Arabidopsis thaliana: one gene and its partners. The protein of the gene in region 3 interacts with the protein of the main gene of each other region in a pairwise test. Each region holds a gene or a part of one and is shown on either strand. Other genes may lie near its edges. The genes, in order: MLO10, ATPUP13, GONST1 and AT1G57980.

What was found.
Region 1: the proteins of GONST1 (region 3) and MLO10 interact in a protein complementation assay, tested with the Arabidopsis thaliana proteins (one large-scale study listed by BioGRID).
Region 2: the proteins of GONST1 (region 3) and ATPUP13 interact in a protein complementation assay, tested with the Arabidopsis thaliana proteins (one large-scale study listed by BioGRID).
Region 4: the proteins of GONST1 (region 3) and AT1G57980 interact in a protein complementation assay, tested with the Arabidopsis thaliana proteins (one large-scale study listed by BioGRID).

Annotation. Positions count from the first base shown.
Region 1 is NC_003076.8:26,386,928-26,392,723, reverse strand, and holds MLO10 (Seven transmembrane MLO family protein), read left to right. Parts: upstream 1-1,956; 5' UTR 1,957-2,316; coding exon 2,317-2,517; intron 2,518-2,587; coding exon 2,588-2,645; intron 2,646-2,715; coding exon 2,716-2,900; intron 2,901-2,976; coding exon 2,977-3,093; intron 3,094-3,165; coding exon 3,166-3,226; intron 3,227-3,299; coding exon 3,300-3,388; intron 3,389-3,491; coding exon 3,492-3,566; intron 3,567-3,641; coding exon 3,642-3,730; intron 3,731-3,809; coding exon 3,810-3,859; intron 3,860-3,942; coding exon 3,943-3,983; intron 3,984-4,054; coding exon 4,055-4,228; coding exon of another isoform or gene 4,229-4,334; coding exon 4,335-4,370; intron 4,371-4,489; coding exon 4,490-4,557; intron 4,558-4,648; coding exon 4,649-4,709; intron 4,710-4,810; coding exon 4,811-5,215; 3' UTR 5,216-5,296; downstream 5,297-5,796. Other genes in the region: AT5G65980 (Auxin efflux carrier family protein), read right to left, coding at 1-54, 146-280; AT5G65960 (GTP binding protein), read right to left, coding at 5,527-5,796.
Region 2 is NC_003075.7:5,565,270-5,569,362, reverse strand, and holds ATPUP13 (Drug/metabolite transporter superfamily protein), read left to right. Parts: upstream 1-1,904; 5' UTR 1,905-2,076; coding exon 2,077-2,080; intron 2,081-2,283; coding exon 2,284-3,365; 3' UTR 3,366-3,590; downstream 3,591-4,093.
Region 3 is NC_003071.7:5,686,785-5,692,661, reverse strand, and holds GONST1 (golgi nucleotide sugar transporter 1), read left to right. Parts: upstream 1-1,890; 5' UTR 1,891-2,131; intron 2,132-2,344; 5' UTR 2,345-2,358; coding exon 2,359-2,708; exon of another isoform or gene 2,709-2,952; coding exon of another isoform or gene 2,953-3,035; coding exon 3,036-3,165; intron 3,166-3,672; coding exon 3,673-3,771; intron 3,772-4,319; coding exon 4,320-4,474; intron 4,475-4,556; coding exon 4,557-4,673; coding exon of another isoform or gene 4,674-4,677; exon of another isoform or gene 4,678-4,826; coding exon 4,827-4,924; intron 4,925-5,025; coding exon 5,026-5,078; 3' UTR 5,079-5,346; downstream 5,347-5,877. Other genes in the region: AT2G13660 (uncharacterized protein), read left to right, coding at 45-370; AT2G13640 (Transcription factor IIS family protein), read left to right, coding at 5,372-5,877. UniProt on the Arabidopsis thaliana protein: Involved in the import of GDP-mannose from the cytoplasm into the Golgi lumen. Required for the luminal synthesis of a variety of plant cell surface components. Is required for the correct mannosylation of the glycosylinositol phosphoceramides (GIPC).
Region 4 is NC_003070.9:21,438,676-21,442,788, forward strand, and holds AT1G57980 (Nucleotide-sugar transporter family protein), read right to left. Parts: upstream 2,173-4,113; 5' UTR 2,058-2,172; coding exon 2,018-2,057; intron 1,914-2,017; coding exon 769-1,913; 3' UTR 531-768; downstream 1-530. Other genes in the region: PUP17 (purine permease 17), read right to left, coding at 1-83, 175-214; PUP18 (purine permease 18), read right to left, coding at 3,025-4,113.

The DNA of each region.
Region 1 (5,796 bases), on a different chromosome or scaffold from region 3:
AGTCTCGGCAAGGTTGGCAAACATGATGCAGGGGGTGAATACCACGAAGACGAGCTGCGAGGGAAAATGTTTGTTAGTGATGATATATGAATGCATGCATAGTTGACACCAAACAGAAAAAAGAAAAGCAGAGACGGAGGTTGACCTTGTTCACGGATCTTCGGGTGTCAGCAGAGAGAAGAGAGCAGTAATCGGTTGCCAAGAAAGCGCCAAGGACGCTGATAAGAAGAACTTGAACGATTGGCATTGAAGCCACCTCCAACAACTCTAAGAAACCCATCCCTAATCTCTTCTTTTTCTTTTCTTTTCTTTTTTTCTGGTTTCTTGTAGAAGAAGAGAAGCAGTCAAGGTTAAAGATATAGAGATGAAAGGTTTGATATTTGGGCTGTTTGTGTAGATGGAGAGGATTGGTGGGTATATATATTTAGATTAAATACGTATAGGAGTGGGGTACATGAAGTGTAAAAGAGGAGTCTAACTTTTCAACATAGGAAAAGTCATGCAAGAAAGGTGAATAAAAAGGACAAGTTGGCCTCTAGGTACTGTTGGTCTCTCAGGTAGTGCATATGCAAAATCACATAGATATCAAAATTAGAAGATTCAATATTGGGACGAAAGACTTTTGGGATTGTCTCAGGTTAATAATGTTGACAGAATCAAAGTAAGACTCATCGTCATGCTGTAGCTAAATTGCTCCCAGTATCTTTCTTTCCAAATATTTTTATATCTTTATTTCCGCTTTCTTTTTCTCTAGCTAGAGAGATGTATTTAAACTATCCATGGATATTCGAGCACATGAGTCACAACTAACAAACTAACATTTTTCAAAGTGGCCAAACTTGACCTTTTAATCATAATATTATTTGTCTTTATCACCTAACATAAAGTCACGATACAAAACATCTCTTGAATTTGACCCCCAAGCTGATTGCTATGCCAAGTCCACAATGCTCCTCATAGGCTCATACTCTCTACTTTATTACAAATATCAATAAAAAAAATGTCAACTGTGATATGTGTGACTTTCACAAGCCACTCTGCTAAGTTGACTGATCCCAACCCTGCACATATCACATATGCACACATGGAAAACAGTTGCATTGTAATTTGGGGAAAATAATCTCATCCTGCACATCTCCTCTGTTTCCTCTTTACAACTCCACAGTATCTTGTTCGAATTTATTTATCCAATCAAAAAATAAGTGATATGCTAAAAAAAACTTGTGGGATTAAAACCAAGATGAGGAAGAGGAAACCGTCGTTTGCTTGTATGTCTCGGAGAATTACGTGTGCTGATGATTATAATAAATTAAAAGTAAGAGAGTCAAATATTTGTTTAAACAAGAAAACGGTAAGAAGGATGAGACCAGGTTTTGTGGTAGAACAAGTCCGGGAGATAAGATAGTTGCGTGACTAGGAAATGGCGTGTCTACACAAGGGCACCTTTTGATTTCGATCATATAACAAAGAAGTAGATAGGCCTAAAAGAGCCCATGGTATGTATGTATGAGGCAGCTATTGTGAGGCCTATATATGGGCTTAGCTCATTGTCCATTTGTTTCCAAATTATTCATATGATCAACGATAGATGATCAAATGAAGATATATTTCTAATACATTTAGTTTTATCATTGTCAAAATATATATTTCTACAAAGAAACTTTACAACATGATCGGATTACGTGAAACTAAAAAGAGGGAAGAAACTTGATAGAGACAAAGAGGAGCCTTTTGTTATAATCATATTAGTTATCCCAGGCTGAGAAAGTGATGATTCCTCCATGCATTTAAAAAATTGTAGGTACATAAAGAAAAGAAAAAATAAATAAAGGTGGTAGATAGTGGAGCAACGGCCAAGAGTAAGATAACATTCTATATCTCTAAAGTTGCAAGTTGGGTTATATTTAACTAAAAGTGGAAATACTAAAAGGGGAAAGCAATCATAAAAGCATAACCAAATAGTCAAACTGACGAGTGTGTTGGACGATTCTGTTCTTCTACCCCTCTGATCTCTCACAGGGGATCAAATTGTCATTTAGTTTTGATATATAGAGCCACAACAGTGACATTAGTTTGTTGTTGACTACTGTAAGGGTTGGGTTTCGAAAAGAGACATGGAGGAGTGTTATTAGGTTGATTGTTCTCAAGTACCTCCAGTGTCAAACAAACATTGACGATTGATTCTCTTCCCATAATTTATTGTTATGCATTACATATCACAGTAAACGGACTTTCAGTCAACACCGCATTTATTTGCCCTCTTCATTGTTTCACGTACGTAATCAAGGACCAAGGGATTTTCTTCTTTTGGCTACCATGGCCACAAGATGCTTTTGGTGTTGGACCACTTTGCTCTTCTGCTCTCAGCTGCTTACCGGCTTTGCCCGAGCTTCCTCTGCAGGCGGCGCCAAAGAGAAAGGACTCTCCCAAACTCCCACCTGGGCCGTTGCCCTCGTCTGTACCTTCTTCATTCTTGTCTCCGTCCTCCTCGAGAAGGCTCTTCACAGAGTTGCCACGGTTTGCCCTGAATTCCCTTTTTTCTTTCTTCCTTTACTTCCGCCCTCTAAACTTTTATTTTATTTCTCAGTGGTTGTGGGAGAAACATAAGAACTCTCTGCTTGAAGCCTTGGAGAAAATAAAGGCGGGTAAGACCAGAGAATTGTTTTCTCCTACCGTATTTGGTTAAGAAAACTAAGATATATGAAATGGATGCAGAGCTGATGATTCTAGGATTCATTTCCTTGTTGCTCACCTTCGGAGAGCAGTACATTCTCAAGATTTGTATTCCTGAAAAGGCTGCAGCCTCTATGTTACCTTGTCCAGCTCCTTCTACTCATGACCAAGACAAGACCCACCGCAGACGTCTAGCTGCTGCTACGACCTCTTCCCGCTGCGATGAGGTCATCTCTAGCTTCCCTTGTACTAAAAAATTTACGCTCTAGCTCTATCTCTCTAACACTTTTTTGTTGTCCGCAGGGTCATGAACCACTCATACCTGCCACGGGTTTGCACCAGCTACACATTCTATTGTTCTTCATGGCTGCCTTTCATATCCTCTACAGTTTCATCACCATGATGCTTGGCAGACTCAAGGTACGACAAGCCCTGATTTTCTTATCTCAAACTTTCGTAATCCTAGCTATTCATCATTTTCTGTAACTGCAGATCCGTGGCTGGAAAAAGTGGGAGCAGGAGACATGTTCTCATGATTACGAGTTTTCAATCGGTAGGCGAGTTCTTGTTCATTAAATTAAACCTTTGTTTTATAGGTCACTAAAGTGGCTCCTCTCTATGCATAGATCCATCAAGATTCAGACTCACTCATGAGACGTCCTTTGTTAGACAACATTCCAGTTTCTGGACAAAAATCCCCTTCTTCTTTTATGCTGTGAGAAGCATGCATTTACTTCTTCTTGAGCATGCCCTCGTGGCATCAAGTTTGTTGATTAAAAATTGATTTTTGCTCGCTCTCTCAACCATCTGATTTACAGGGGTGCTTCCTACAGCAGTTTTTCCGATCTGTAGGGAGGACTGACTACTTAACTCTGCGCCATGGCTTCATCGCTGTAAGGCAAAACTCAATTCTCTCTTGTATTTGCCTTCCACTAATGGTGTGATGCTTATGGGTGAGTCTCCTTTAGGCCCATTTAGCTCCAGGAAGAAAGTTCGACTTCCAGAAGTATATCAAAAGATCATTGGAAGACGATTTCAAGGTGGTAGTTGGAATAAGGTACGTAGCACAAAACAGTGCTAGAGCTAGTACTGCGTTGAGAGGTGTTTGTTGACATTGCTGATACTGTACTGTGCAGTCCTCTTTTGTGGGCATCATTTGTAATTTTCCTACTTCTGAATGTTAATGGTGAGTCAGCTTTGCATTTGCTTGCTCTTTTACCAAGCCATTGGTTATTGTTCTACTGAATAAATAATCCCATTCCTGTTTAGGCTGGGAAGCATTGTTTTGGGCGTCAATCCTACCTGTACTTGTAAGACAAGTTATACTCTTGAGCGAATCTTATACTGTGTTTGTATGTCTCATTTTTACAACCCCTTGCAGATCATTCTAGCTGTCAGTACGAAGCTTCAAGCGATCCTAACAAGAATGGCTCTGGGAATCACGGAGAGACACGCAGTTGTTCAAGGGATACCTCTCGTGCATGGTTCAGATAAGTACTTTTGGTTTAATCGCCCTCAGTTGCTACTTCATCTTCTTCACTTCGCCTTATTTCAGGTACTTGCATTGTTTTCAGTTCCAAACAAAACTACCATTGCATGTTACATATACTTGTCTTCAACTTTTGTGCCATGCTGTCTAAATGCTCCTTCTTTTTGTATAGAATGCTTTCCAGCTAACATACTTCTTCTGGGTCTGGGTAACAACATCTCTCTATATTCTATGCGCAATACACTAGTTGTTTGCCTTTTGGACCATGTACATATTCTCTTCTATTGATACAAATGACTTGATACATTTCGTTAATTTGGCATGCAGTATTCCTTTGGGCTAAAATCTTGCTTTCACACGGATTTCAAACTAGTCATCGTAAAACTCTCTCTAGGGTAAAATTTATTCTTATTCTTCTCTAGTGAATAAACTAATAGATATATCTCTCTTGGAACGATTAGCTCAACAAGTTTGATAAATTTGCAGCGTTGGAGCTTTGATTTTGTGCAGCTACATCACACTTCCTTTGTATGCACTAGTTACTCAGGTACATTTATCCTAATTTCAGCCTTTACTCTCCAGATATTTGTGTCTACGAAGCTATATAGTAGTAACTAAGCAACAAACTTATGTTGTTGTTGTGGGCAGATGGGTTCAAACATGAAGAAAGCTGTGTTTGATGAGCAAATGGCAAAAGCGTTGAAGAAATGGCACATGACTGTGAAGAAGAAGAAAGGCAAAGCGAGAAAGCCACCAACAGAGACCCTTGGTGTTTCTGACACTGTCAGCACCTCTACCTCATCCTTTCACGCCTCTGGAGCCACTCTACTCCGCTCCAAGACCACTGGTCACTCGACAGCCTCTTATATGAGTAATTTCGAGGACCAAAGCATGTCTGATCTTGAAGCTGAGCCATTATCCCCTGAACCAATAGAGGGGCACACTCTCGTCAGGGTTGGTGATCAGAACACAGAGATAGAATATACTGGAGATATTAGTCCTGGAAACCAATTCTCCTTTGTGAAGAACGTTCCTGCTAATGATATTGACTAATATTCAAAATGAATGCAGAACAAATCCATCATCCGGTCTTTATTTTCTATTACATGTATGCCAACAATTGCTTCGCCAAGTGTTACCAACTAGGTTTTCTGTATAAGGCTGTATTTTAGAGCTCTTACGTATCTAAAGAAAAAGTAAAGCGATACATAACAGGTCGGCCCAGATAAGTATTACATCGTGCAACTGACTATTACTGCCAGAATCTATCAAAAAACAAGACACGGACTTTGATAAAGATTGTATAAAGAAAGGATTAAACCGTAGCTCACGCTGATCTTTTACAATATCTGATATAAACAGACTCACTCAGGTTCTTCCTCGTCATCAGTGTCACCTCCAAACATGGAAGCCATTTTCATCGCTAAATTTGCAGCTATTTCCCTCCTCTGGAAATCAGGCATCAATCGCAAGTTGTCCCGGATGTTTCCTATTTCTGACATCAACTGTTCCACATCTTCAAACTCGTAACATTTTTCATTTTCTGTGCCCAAAGGTTTTTCATCTGTTACTATTGCTCTGTCAGTGTCATTTTGCAGCTCTAACCTTGACCCTGACGGCAGCAGCTCTTCATC
Region 2 (4,093 bases), on a different chromosome or scaffold from region 3:
GTAATCGAAAGAATACCTCCCCCACTGAAAATTCCTACAGAACGTGAGATCACTCATCACCTTGAGGAAAAATTCATCCACTTGAGGTGCCTTATCTCCGGTCTTGATAGGCGCTATGATAATGCTGCTTAAGAAATACAAGACCATCATCCTCAACCTTTCTTTTGATCTTTCACCCTCCGGTACCATTCCTATGAGCTTCTCTCTCACGTCTTCGCGTTTCACAACAGTATCCTTGAAATGCTTCCTCTTGAAATCCAAATTCCCCGTATTTTTGTAACCAAGTTTATAGTTCTTGCAATTGAAGTCCGATATCAATGCGTGTTCCAATATTCCATATCGGATTGGAACGCCATTGACGATGAACCACGCTTCTTTCTTCCTTTCAATGCGCGCCGTGCGAAGAAGGAGCATCCACATCCCCATAAGTCGGTGGTTCGGGTCTCTTGGCATGTGGAAGATATGTTGGAAACTAGGATGGTTCTCAAACCATAACCTCTCGGACTTGCTCATCGGCGGCTCCAACTTATCGAATGTAGTCAACAATTCGTGAATATAGCACCGAGTTGAAAGCTTGATTTTCTTCACATATTCCGAGGGCGGGAAATACATACTCAAGGGTGGTACTGCTTCTGTTTCCTCGTCGATCTCCTGCAACAGACATTCATTCATATTACTACCGATGGTACATAGAATCATACACATAGTTATATCCTAGTAATGACAGCATTATCCAGAAATCATACACGTAGTTGTTTCCTAGTATTGACAGTTTGACCCAAAAACGCATAGTTATATCCTAGTAATGACAATATTATCCAGAAATCATATACGTAGTTGTTTCCTAGTATTGACAGTTTGACCAAAAAACGCATAGTTATATCCTAGTAATGACAGTATTATCCAGAAATCATACAAGTAGTTGTTTCCTAATATTGACAGTTTGACCCAAAAACGCATAGTTATATCCTAGTATTCTCCACAAATCATACACGTAGTTGTTTCCTAGTATTGACAGTATGACCCAAAAACGCATAGCTATATCCTAGTAATGACAGTATTCTCCACAAATCATAGTATTATCCTGTTCTACCAGTTTCAAACCATTCAAAGACTGAGAATTGACTCGAAATCCTTACCATAGCCGCCGGAATTTCCACTGCAGTTGATGTCTCCTCATCCATATTCTCATCGGCGGAGGTCTCTTCCCCAAGCTTCTAGTACTATCATCGGAGGACTCTTCTCCGCCAACATTCTCCTCTTCTTCTTTCTCCTCTTCCTCCTCTTCCTCCTCTTCCTCTTCCTCCCCTTCCTCTTCCTCTTCTTCTTCTTTCTCTTCTTCTTCTTTCTCTTCTTCTTCACTCTCTTCTTCCTCAACATTCTCCGGATCTTGCTCTGTCAGCGACGGCTCCTCCGTCCTCGTCGGCGCAGTCTCCTTCGTTGCCGGCGCAGTCTCCTTCGTCGGCGCAGTCTCCTTCGTTATCGTCGGCGCAGTCTCCTTCGTTGCCGGCGCAGTCTCCTTCGTTGCCGGCGCAGTCTCCTTCGTTGCCGTCGCAGTCTCCTCCGTCGTTGATTTCACGGTCGTTCCAACTCCTCTCTTCCTCTTCTTTAGAGGCGGCATTGTTTTCGGCGGCATTAGGGTTAGGATTAGAGGAGAAGAAACGATTCTGAGAGAAAAGAGAGAGAATTAGGGTTCGTGTTGTTGAGAATTTGAGTGAAAGGGAGAGGAGTTGTTTGTGTTCACAGAGAATCGAGAGAGAGAGAGAGCGGTTTCTCTCGGAACTCGTTTCTTTGAGTGAGGAAAAAACGAAAAAATTGTAAGTGTTGAGTCTGAATTTTTTTTTTTTTTGGTTTTCAAATTAAAGTGAGAGGATATCTTGGTAAAATCCTTCATTTATGTATTTAAATTAAATCACAAATAGGTTCTGTTTTTTGTGGGAAGATATGAGATTTTCTTCAAGCAAAAAGGGAGTTATGAGATGATTGGTCGTCCTCGCCGGAGAAAAGATACGAGACTTGTCTCTCAATCCTGAAGCAGACTCGATTCATCCATCAGTCAACAAATCTTCCTTCACAATGGGTATATCTCTTTAATGTTCCTTACTTCAATTTCAGTTTCGATTCTAGAAATGAAATAAACTGATTAATTGTCAAAACCCAATTCCCAGATTTTTCTTAATCCCCAGATTAAAATTGTCAAAAACAAAAAATTGGGGTTTTCATAAAAATGATAAATTTCTTAAAAGATGAAAACTTTATGTGTTTTTTTCTTTTGGGTAACAGATGAAGAAGAAGCAATGTTACTGCTAAAGGAAGAAGATGAAGGAACAAGAAGAACTAGTGTTCCTACACAACTCATGAAACTAAAACGAACCCATTGGTGGATTCTTGTCTTTATAAGTATCTTCTTCCTCATCTCTGCACAAGCCATTGCTGTTCTTCTTGGTCGGTTTTATTACAACGAAGGTGGAAACAGTAAATGGATCTCTACTCTTGTCCAAACTTGTGGTTTTCCGATTCTCTATCTCCCTCTTTGTTTCCTTCCTGCTTCACACTCTTCTTCATCTTCTTGTTCTTTCAAGACTCTGGTTTGGATTTATCTTTCTCTTGGTTTTGCTATTGGTTTAGACAATCTTTTATACTCTTTTGGTCTTTTGTATCTCTCTGCTTCAACTTATTCGATTCTTTGTTCTTCACAGTTAGCTTTCAATGGTGTCTTCTCTTATTACATCAATTCTCAGAAAATCACTTGTTTGATTCTCTTCTCTGTGTTGTTTCTCTCTGTCTCTGCTGTGTTGGTTTCTCTTGACGATGATTCCAATAGCCCATCAGGAGATTCTAAGTGGAGTTACTTGATTGGTTGTTTATGTACTGTTTTTGCTTCTCTTATCTATTCTCTTCAGCTCTCTCTTATGCAGTTTTCTTTCGAGAATGTTCTCAAGAGTGAGACGTTCTCTATGGTTCTCGAGATGCAAATCTATACGTCGCTTGTGGCTTCTTGTGTTGCGGTTATCGGGTTGTTTGCGAGCGGGGAATGGATGTTGTTGAGTGTGGAGATGGAAGAGTTTCACGAGGGTCAAGTCATTTATGTTTTGACTTTGGTTGGGACCGCGGTTTCGTGGCAATTGGGTTCTGTAGGAGCCGTGGCGCTTATATTTCTGGTTTCTTCGCTGTTTTCGAACCTTATTGGTACACTCTCACTCATTGTTACGCCTCTTGCAGCCATTGCGGTGTTCCACGACAAGCTGACTGAGGTTAAGATGGTCGCGATGCTCATTGCCTTCATGGGGTTCGGGTTTTATATCTACCAGAATTATCTTGATGACCTGAAAGTACAAAGAGCACGAGAAGCTCAGGCTGAATAGTTCTGCTGTGTTTTATTAGTTAATTTTGTTAGTAACCTTTCTTAGAACAAGCTAGCTACAAGTGTTGTATTGTATATAGTAGAGTTCATAATCCGGTGATAATATACATAATACTAATTGCATATGGAGCTTGTTTTTACGGGCCAAAGTTCTATGCAGAATCTACATACGTAATAGATCAACGTATGAGGTTAAGTATAATGGTGGATTCATCGAGAATCTCGGAGACACACATGTTGTTTCAGAAGATCATGATGTTGCTGATCTTGAAACAAACATGGTTGAAAGCAATAAACATGTTGATGATTCAACTTTGAAAGCTTCTTCATCAAAGAGGAAGATGGTTATTAAGGGGTTTTGATTGATCAAAAAGAAGAATCTAGTTACCAATATGTCCTTAGGCACGTCCATACATAAAATAGAAATCACACTCGGAAAAGGTGGACAATTAGCTAGAGCAGCGGGTTCCACATTAAAATTACCTTCAGGAGAGGTCCGTTTCCGAAAACTGCTACTATGTCTACTACAAATTTTGTTTTGCTAAGACAAGTATTTCTACTACTATGAAATTCATAAATAAAATAGTTAATCGTGTGGTAATCATTCCTTTTTTTTTTGTTATCTTGCAAGTGGTCCTAAAAAAAGGGAATTTGTCAAATTTTCGAGGTCTTAAAGAGTGTGGAATCACATAAGAAACTCTTGAATGTAATTGGAAAAGAGATGTAACT
Region 3 (5,877 bases):
CGAGAATTTGTAACCTCAGCCGATTAGCCCGAAATATTCATCAGAACAAGACGAAGACTCCAATTCTTCATACTCCGTCCCAATCAACCGCATCAACTTGATCAATCCACCAAGGAGAACCGATGCTCTAAACAAGCCCTTTTGGCGGAGCAAGGAATTACCTTCACTTGGGAGAAGAATCAAGCACTCAATGAACAAGGATCCATTTGATGACTTCTGGAATTTTCATCTTCCCGAAATTGGAAGAGTTAATTTGAGCCTGCAAAAGGCAACCAAAAGAGAAAGAAAGAAAGTAAATCCGAACAAGTCGGAAAGAGAAACCGGCATCAAAACAGGAAATCTAAAACACAAACCAAAAAGCTCTGATTGAAGACGGAGATTACAAAAGAAAAACAGAGCTCCCTCTCTGTAAAAGATATGAAAGAGAGAAGAGATAGAAAACTCTTTTCATTAAATGTTATAATACGAAAATGATATTCAACTATTTGTTCTCAAGAACAAGATGAGTGTCGTTAACATTAGAGTGTGAATATATTTTTGTTATAAAAATTGTCATGCGTTACGGAAAAAACAAAATGGTCATGCGTTTGGCTACACTGGTTCTTTTGGGCCTAAAGGATTTTATTTTACGTGCTCGAGTAACTTGGGCTATGGCTAGTGGATTTAGAAGTGGACTGTGTCAAAGAGTCAAAATAGATAGGCTAAAATTTCTGGTGGAAAGAATTAAGCCGAAAGGTCAACGGTATGGTACAAAGCAAAAAGGCAAATGGACCATTATTGCCAAACTTTTATTTTTATTCATTCAGATTTTGTGTCAAATTGCCAAGTTTAGAGACACATAACAGTAGTACACTTTTGCACTGACTATCAATTTAAATACGAATTCTCACTGATTAAACTAATTAAGACGCATCATTATAAATTTCTTAAATCATAAACACTAGAATCCAAAATCGATTTTCATTTTTCCCTCTTTTCTTTTTTGAATTCTTTCCTTTTTTTGATTCCTTCTTCTTCTTTAAATTCAAAATAATCTCTTATCTCTATGTCGATTGATGGTGCGAAAGAGAAAAAATTGTGCCTCAATTTGCTTAATTAACGAAAATTCGTGATTAAATTGAAAATCAACATAAAAATTGAGAATTTAAATTACCAGATACAGAACTCATAGTTTAAATCAACAAAAATAGTAAACTACTGATTTAAATGACATTTTTCCAAAAAAGCAAATTGTACAACATATTGTGTGATTTGGACCATATGGTACCAAACCATTATAACTAAATTAGATAATTTATGTTTATATTATTATTTCTTCTCAATATATAAGAGATTTATATAATAACCAATAACTATAAAATGATGAAAATTAACAAAATAACATCATAAGCTCAATACCTTAGGAGAGAACATATTTAACGTGTAACTGTCAAAGTTACTCCAAACAAAGTTTGTGTTCTTTTTTTATAAATAACAATGTTTGTGTTGAATGACCTCAATGAAGAGATTTGTTTGATAGTATTAAATAGCTAATATTTTCTTAAATTTTAGTATAGTTATGACATATTTGTATATGGCCTATTTGTATATGATCAGTATTATTCTGTTTTATTGTCTTAAAAATGATCAATATTATTCTGTATTTATAGATAAAAGGCTATTTTTCGCTTTGGAATAATTTTTAATTTCAAGAAATACATACTAGTTTTATTTATTCATTTAGACATGTTTGACATGAGTAGTTGATGAGTTTGTCAATTTTGAAATACCCACTGAGAAAATTTATTTTGTTTTACATAATGGAACTTCCTCTAACTTACGAAACTCTTAATTTTAATATAAATAAACAAACGAAAGAAACGAAAATTGGTCAGTTTTTTTTTTTTTTTTCTCTTCTGGTCAATGCCATCTCTCTCCCTCGTCTTTTCAGTTTCCTAATTTCCATTGTTTCTTCAAAACAACATTTCACAGATAGCTCCACCACGACCTGACGAAGATCCTCCGCGTGAGCAAGTTTCATGTTCTTCTTCTTCTTCCGATTCATAGTTTTTTTTTTTTCCGGTAACTTGTCATCAATTAGATCTCGTCCGAAGTTGAATCTTTAGTTCGCGAGCTTTTGGACAACTTCGAGGTAAAATTCGTTATTCTCTACACAACTTCCGATTAACGCTTGTGTAGCTACTCTCAACTTTGCTGCTTGATCCAATCTCGTCTTAAGTTGATTTTAGCTGCGAATTGGAACCGAATTGGTTTTTATGTAAAACTGTTACTTTTTTTGTGCGTGTATTGTTAAGAATGATGGATCTAGTTATATAAGCTTGAAAGAAGTTAGTTTCTTTGGTAGGTCTTAGCTTTGCAATGAAATTGTACGAACACGATGGAGTTGATTTAGAAGATGGGAAGACAGTAAAATCCGGAGGAGATAAACCAATTCCAAGAAAGATACATAACCGGGCTTTGTTATCCGGTTTAGCTTATTGCATTTCATCATGCAGTATGATACTTGTCAACAAGTTTGTTCTCTCCAGCTACAACTTCAATGCTGGGATCTTCCTTATGTTATACCAGAACTTTGTCTCGGTGATCATTGTGGTTGGTTTGAGTTTAATGGGTCTAATAACTACTGAACCACTTACTTTGAGGTTGATGAAGGTCTGGTTTCCAGTGAATGTCATCTTTGTTGGTATGCTTATCACAAGCATGTTTAGGTAAGAATGTGTTTCTACACCTTTATTTTGTGTTGGTTTGTTGAATTATATATCGATGCTCTCTTAATTCTCAAGCCTATAAGATTACTAAATTAGTAAAGTCAACTTTTTGGAGTACTAAAGGTAGTTATAAGAATCTGTACATCATCTTTACAGCAGATCGAGGATTAAATAACGTGTAGACACTTAGGTGAAACAGATAGATATTTTGGATTTACTTCACAGTAGGTCGAGATATATAGATATGTATCGTATATGTGTATGTAGGCGGTGTTTGAAGAGCAGATTGAACTTGATTGTCTATTTGAATTACATTTTCTTTGACAGTTTGAAATACATCAATGTAGCAATGGTCACTGTCCTGAAGAATGTCACTAATGTGATAACTGCAGTTGGTGAGATGTATCTGTTCAACAAGCAACATGACAACAGAGTGTGGGCTGCTCTCTTCTTAATGGTATGTTTGTCTGCTTTAAAAGTATTTCTAACTGATTCTGTAAATTGTACCTGAGAAAAAACTATTCTCAAGGAACCTATTTCAAGCTGCACATAGATAGCATTTTGATTGGAGTTTTTGAAAGATATCCTTGTCAAACAACGATTCTATACTGTTTTGGATTTGGTTTTCTCTTGTTTTCTCAAAGCACTCTCTGATCATCAACCTTAACCAATAAAGTCTAAAGCATATCTTCTTATTGATAAGTGATCCACCCTTTTGTGTGCGTACACAGTTACACTTGTCGTAGCGGCTTTCAGTGGTGTGGCATAGCCTAACCTTTCAATACTGTTGGAGATACATGTTTTTAACTGCTTCCACAATTAGTCTGCCAGGGAAATGTAATCATGTTTTTTTGTCACGGCTACTCATTGTTATATGTATATTCTATTTGTTTTTGTATAGATCTTGAATAAGTAGAGGATAAAGTTTTGATTAACCTGTGCTTCTTTCGTCCTTCATTTGCAGATAATTTCCGCAGTTTCTGGAGGAATAACAGACCTATCATTCAATGCTGTTGGCTATGCTTGGCAGATTGCTAATTGCTTCTTAACTGCATCGTACTCGGTGAGTAAACATTTGATCATTTGTGTTTTCTTTTCCCAAAATGTTAGGAGTCATTTGAAACAATAAACACATATATGAAAAGGAGATCACTTAAAAACCATGCTTTCATGTCGAGTATTACATGCTGTTTGGTTAAGACTAAGTCAATAAACTAAACAGCCTTCCCTATAATCATTACGATACTGGCTTGCTTTTGAGTTTTAAGATGCTCACGAGATACCGAGATTCTGTTACCTTAGAAAATTTTATAGCTTGCAATCCATTGTCACTGGTAACCTGAGTACTTCACTCGTTGTTAGAAGTAGGAATAGCATGTTAAAGAGAAGACTTTGGGCAAAGAATGCAAATTGACACCATCAACTTCTCAGTTCTCACTAGGTTTTCCATTGCTGGGTCAAAAAACGAGAGTGTTAGACTGTTAGGTTCCCATAAATTTATCCCTATATCCTGTCAACAAAAACCAAGTGTTTGGCTTGTTAGCTAGGCTACTATACTCTTATAAAATTTGCCACCACTTTTGACTTGCCTTATATTTTGTTGTTTTGCAGCTGACTTTGAGAAAGACCATGGATACGGCCAAGCAGGTTACTCAATCTGGAAACTTGAACGAGTTCTCCATGGTCTTGCTTAATAACACACTTTCATTACCACTTGGGCTTCTTCTTTCTTATTTCTTCAACGAGATGGATTATCTCTATCAAACGTGAGTTCCTGTCCTTATTTCTGTGTCAATGGAAAATGGTTTGTGTCATCTGAAAACAAAATGGTGTATTATATTTGTGCAGGCCACTTCTACGATTACCAAGTTTCTGGATGGTCATGACACTTAGTGGACTTCTAGGGCTTGCCATTAGCTTTACTTCAATGTGGTTTCTTCATCAAACTGGAGCAACAACATACAGGTAGCAAATTAGAGAGAGATAGAGCAATTTCAAAACTTTGCTTAAGAGAGTGTTGCTGTCCCCTAGCCTTCTCCATATATCCCTTTCCTATGTTTGCTTCTTTGTTGGTTCAGTCCTAACTAGATACATCTTTCGCTTTATTCAAAATCATAGCCTGGTGGGATCTCTAAACAAGATACCTCTATCCATCGCGGGGATCGTTCTTTTCAATGTACCGACCAGTTTGCAGAACTCAGCAAGCATACTCTTTGGTAAGCGTTCTCTCGATCAGTTCCCTTTTCCAACTTCTTGAAGGAACACATATCGCTTGTGTTGTGTATTATTATTAAACCTGAGGTGGCCTAATTTGCAGGTCTTGTCGCTGGAGTTGTATTTGCTAGAGCCAAAATGAGGGAGAAGTCCTAAAATACTAACCATCTACAACACATTTTACTACATCAATCAGTATAGGACATGGCAAAAGCTGATTAAAGCAGAGCAATGAGTTTATAACCTCAGAATTCTATGCACGTTATGTGTTTCTTGTAAAAGCTTTCGCCACTCTACTTGTATAATGTTAGTAAAATATTAATGAATGTATCGATTCTTGAGTGGTAAGAGAAGTGTTGGTTTATGTGTTTCTTCGTTTTTACCAATTTTCCAGTAAAGAAATTCAATGGTATGAGATTTCAACATAAACTGAAAACCCTAGCCACCTGATGATCAAGAACGACGGAAAGATGATGAGAGTGAGAATTGCGAAGGAGAGATCTGACTTATGCGACTTGACTGCTGCTGCAATTAAGGCTACTTACAATACACGGAACCCATGCGAAGTCGAGCGATGCATCGATGTGTTGAATCACTTGAAGTCTCTGTCTCTTTCCGTGAAGGATATACGATTGTCTGAATCAATAGTTAAACTGGAGACTTTGAGAAGTCATAGGAACCCTAGAATCCGTAAGGAAGCCCAAGCCTTGTTTCATTCATGGTTGAAGACATTCTACGCACATGGAAGCGACAACTCTTTCACAGCTGCTCTTACCAAAGATCGTCTGAAGATGAAGAAGCATGTTCTAAAAATGTGTTCGGAGTTGAAGAAGAAAGAAGAACCGGGAACTATGGCTCGTCAAGTCACTGCCTTTTCGGTGTTGAAGAATAAAGAAGACGAGAGATCTCAGACGACTGTTGAAGCAGTAGAGAGTAAGACAACGATCAAACTCTC
Region 4 (4,113 bases), on a different chromosome or scaffold from region 3:
CCATTTTCTTTGTTTTAGCTCCAACGATCTTCTTGGACTCAAGATTTGGTCTGGTTCTGGATTCTGAACGTGTTCTGATTCTTCTGGTTGTTAAAGAAAATATTTAGTTTTTATTTTGTTTTCGAGTACAGAAACAATATTATAAAACTTATGATAAGAATTTGAAATAATTACCATGTCTTGTTGTCTGTTTGGAAGCTTTGGACATCTCCATTAGTTTTCTCTGGTACCTCTGAAGTCTGAACACCCTTAAATATGCAGATTTCATTCTCTGTGGAATGACTAGTTCTATCTTGCAATTAGAAAAGATCTTTCCACTATACCGTACGAAATCTTTTTGACAGATCAGAGTTGGTACTAGTCAAAACCCGGAAAGGTATTACTGTATATATTATACACCGCTACACAAGGTTAATTACTTAATTTAAACGTACATTAAAACCTCTATAAATTAATAATGTTGGAACATGATATTTTATTAATTTATAGAAACTTTTGTTTTAATTGTTAACAAAATATAAGTTAAACAATTTGATCAAAATAAAATTAATATTTTGGAGGTTATAAATTTTATAGTTTCAGACTTAAAACATTTAAAATTACAAATAAATGCAAAACAGAGAAAAAAAAATCAAACTAAAACAATCAACAAATAAATTACACAGTTGATCCATATCTATACAACATATTTTGGACATTGACTTACAAGAATCAGAAAAAGAAACAAGAACAGATTGAGAAACACAAATATACAGTTGACATGAGAGACTAAACTTCTACATTGTTCTCACTTTGGTTAAATTCCACCATCTTCTTCTTGTTTCTTTTGTGCAGAGTGTAGAAGTAAGATCCTAAAGCCAATACTGATCCTATCAAAGCACCAATTCTAGGCCAACTAAAATCATCATCGATAAAATCAAATGCCAACACAACAATAAAAGCCATAAGTGGTGAAGCACACATATGAACAATATTACTAAAAACACTCGAAACATAAAGCACCAAACCTATCAGCCCGACCGCCCAAACCTGCCACGACAAAGCCAACCCGACCAAACTCAGAACGTAATACGTTTCTCCTTTCTTAAACCTCTCGCTATCGCCTTTCAGCTCCTTATACTCACCACTCGCAAACAAACCAACTAGACAAACAACCGAGGCGACAGAAGAGACACATATTTGCATCTCTAAGACCATTCTAAACACTTTCTTGTTACCATATCTCTTTGTCTTCACCAACAGTTTCTCGAAACTAAGTTGGACTAAACAGAGAGATAATGCGAAAGCAACTGAAGCAGCGAAAGTTAACCAAGCTTGGATGCCGTAGAAATGTTCATTTTCATCAGGCTCTCCTGAAAATACAGGACCACCAAAAGCATAGCTCACAAGAATGAGAACTATCGATATGATGATCCATCTAGTAAACTTGAAACGGTTAATGATAGCTGTGAAAATCAAGGTAAAGATCAACTGGGACCCTGAAATCAGCATGAAGAAGCCATAGCTTGAGTATAACTTCCCAAGTGCATACAATTTGCTGTGAGCAGCAACAAGAACACCAAGGGAGAAGTAAAGCAAGATGAGACGAATGGAGAGGAAGCGAGTATTGATGGTTTCAGGGTTTGGTTTTGGTGAAGGGAAAATGAAGAAGAGAGGGATGAGGATTGGAAAAGCAGCGTTTTGGATCAGAGCTTGCATCCATGTTCCTTTGTATTGTAGATCTTGGTTATTATCTTCTCGACGGTCTTGAACATAGAAGAAGTTCAAGAGAAGTATGACAAGAGAATCTCCAAGCAGGACTAAGAAAAGACATATTAGAACAGAGATCCACCATTTCTTTTGATTTAGCTGCAACAGTTGTCTTTGGCTCAAGACTTGGTCTGGTTCAGGATTCTGAACATGTTCTGATTCTTCTGTTGGTTAAAGAAAATTTGGAATTCTCAGTTTTTATTTTTTATTTTTAAGAAGACAATAAGAATAGAAACAATTTTTACAGAAGTTAAGACAGTGAAGTTACCATGTGTTGTTGTATGTTTGGAAGCTTCGGTCATCTCCATGAGTTTTCTCTGGTGGATCTCTAAAGATTTAGATATGTAAATTTCATTCCCTGTAGATTTTCCAATTATTGAGAATGATTGAGGAGAGGCACATTAAACAATGACTAGCTAGTGGTGATTAAATTCTTTATAATAATTAGAAATATTACTAAAACTTATACAAAACCATGCGATCCTTTAGACAGATCAGATTTGGTATACTTTGAAAACGACTCATCAGTTGTGGTCCTTGAGGACATCACTAGGCTATAATTTTATTCCTAACAATCATGTATTAAACATAAGTTAACCTAATAAACTGTCAATCATGATAGAGACTAGACTACTCACTTATGGTCATGCTAAAACACATATTGAAAAACATTAATCAAATAAGCAAAAGTACATAAAGATCATTTAAAGCTCTTATATATATCTCCATAAACATAAGATCATCTCATAAAATAGTTTACATCTCTAACAGGTTCCTTCAAGAACCACAAAAGTTTCTCTTAGAACCAAATCAAGAACAAGTACACATAAGAGCTAAAAGATAAAAGGGTGAAAAATATCTCTCTTGAGTGGCAATGTGGCATGACATGTTGAAGATCCAAGGAGAGTTATAAATAAATCTCTAGAGGAAAGGAAGGAAACTAAGGGTTTTTGTTCTTACAACGTAAAAATTATAGCCTATATATAGGAAAAGACTTGTGAACCCAGGTTAACCAGCTGTGAGAAAGATTTTTTTGTATCTATTTATTAGTTATTACAATACTTTGTTGATGAAAGTAAGAGATAAATTGTAGTGACAAATCCTCATTAACAAAATATTGTAAGAGATAAATACAAAAAAAAAATCAAATCAAAATAATTAACAAATATGTTCCATAGTTTTCAGATCTATACAACATGTTTTAGACATTGACTTACAACATTCAGAAGAACAACAACATATTTTGAAACAGAAACAAACATTTGACATGAGAGACTAAACGTCAATATTGTTCTCTGTTTGGTAAAGCTCCACCATCTTCTTCTTGTTTCTCTTATGCAGAGTGTAGAAGTAAGATCCTAAAGCCACAACTGTTGCTATCAAAGTACCAATTCTAGGCCAACTAAACTCATCATCCATGAAATCAAATGCCAACACAACAAACAAAGCCACAAGTGGTGAAGTACACATATGAACAACATCGCCAAACACACCCGAAACATAAAGCACCAAACCCATCAGCCCGACCGCCCAAACCTGCCACGACAATGCCAACCCGATCAAACTCAAAACGTAATACGTTTCTCCTTTCTTAAACCTGTGGCTATCGCCTTGCAGTTCCTTATTCTCGCCACTCGCAAACAAACCCACGAGACAAACAACCGTTGCGACAAAAGAGACACAAATTTGCATCTCTATGACCATTCTAAACACTTTCTTGTTACCATATCTCTTTGTCTTTACCAACACTTTCTCGAAACAAAGTTGGAATAAACAGAGAGATAATGCGAAAGCAACTGAAGCAGCGAAAGTTAACCAAGCTTGGATGCTGTAGAATTCTTCGTTTTCATCAGGCTCTCCTCCAAATTCAGGACTACCGAAAACATAAATCAAAATGCTGCCGATTATCGATAAGATAATCCATCTGGTGAACTTAAAACGGTTAATAATGGCTGCGAAAATAGCGGTAAATATCAACTGAGTCGCGGAAATCAGCGTGAAGACGCCAAAGTTTGCGTATAATTTCCCAAGTGCAAACAATTTGCTGTGAGCAGCAACAAGAACACCAAGAGAGATGTAAAGTAAGATGAGACGAAAAGAGAGGAAACGAGTATTGGTGGTTTCTTGGTTTTGTTTTGGTGAAGGGAAAATGAAAAACAGAGGAATGAGTAGTGGAAACGCAGCGTTTTGGACCAGAGCTTGCAACCATGTTCCTCGGTATTGTAGATCTTGGTCACTATCTTCTCGATTGTCTTGAACATAGAAGAAGTTCAAGAGAAGCATGACTAGAGAATCTCCGAGCAAGACTAAGAAAATACATAAAGAAACAGAGATCCACCATTTCTTTTGTTTTAGCTCCAACGA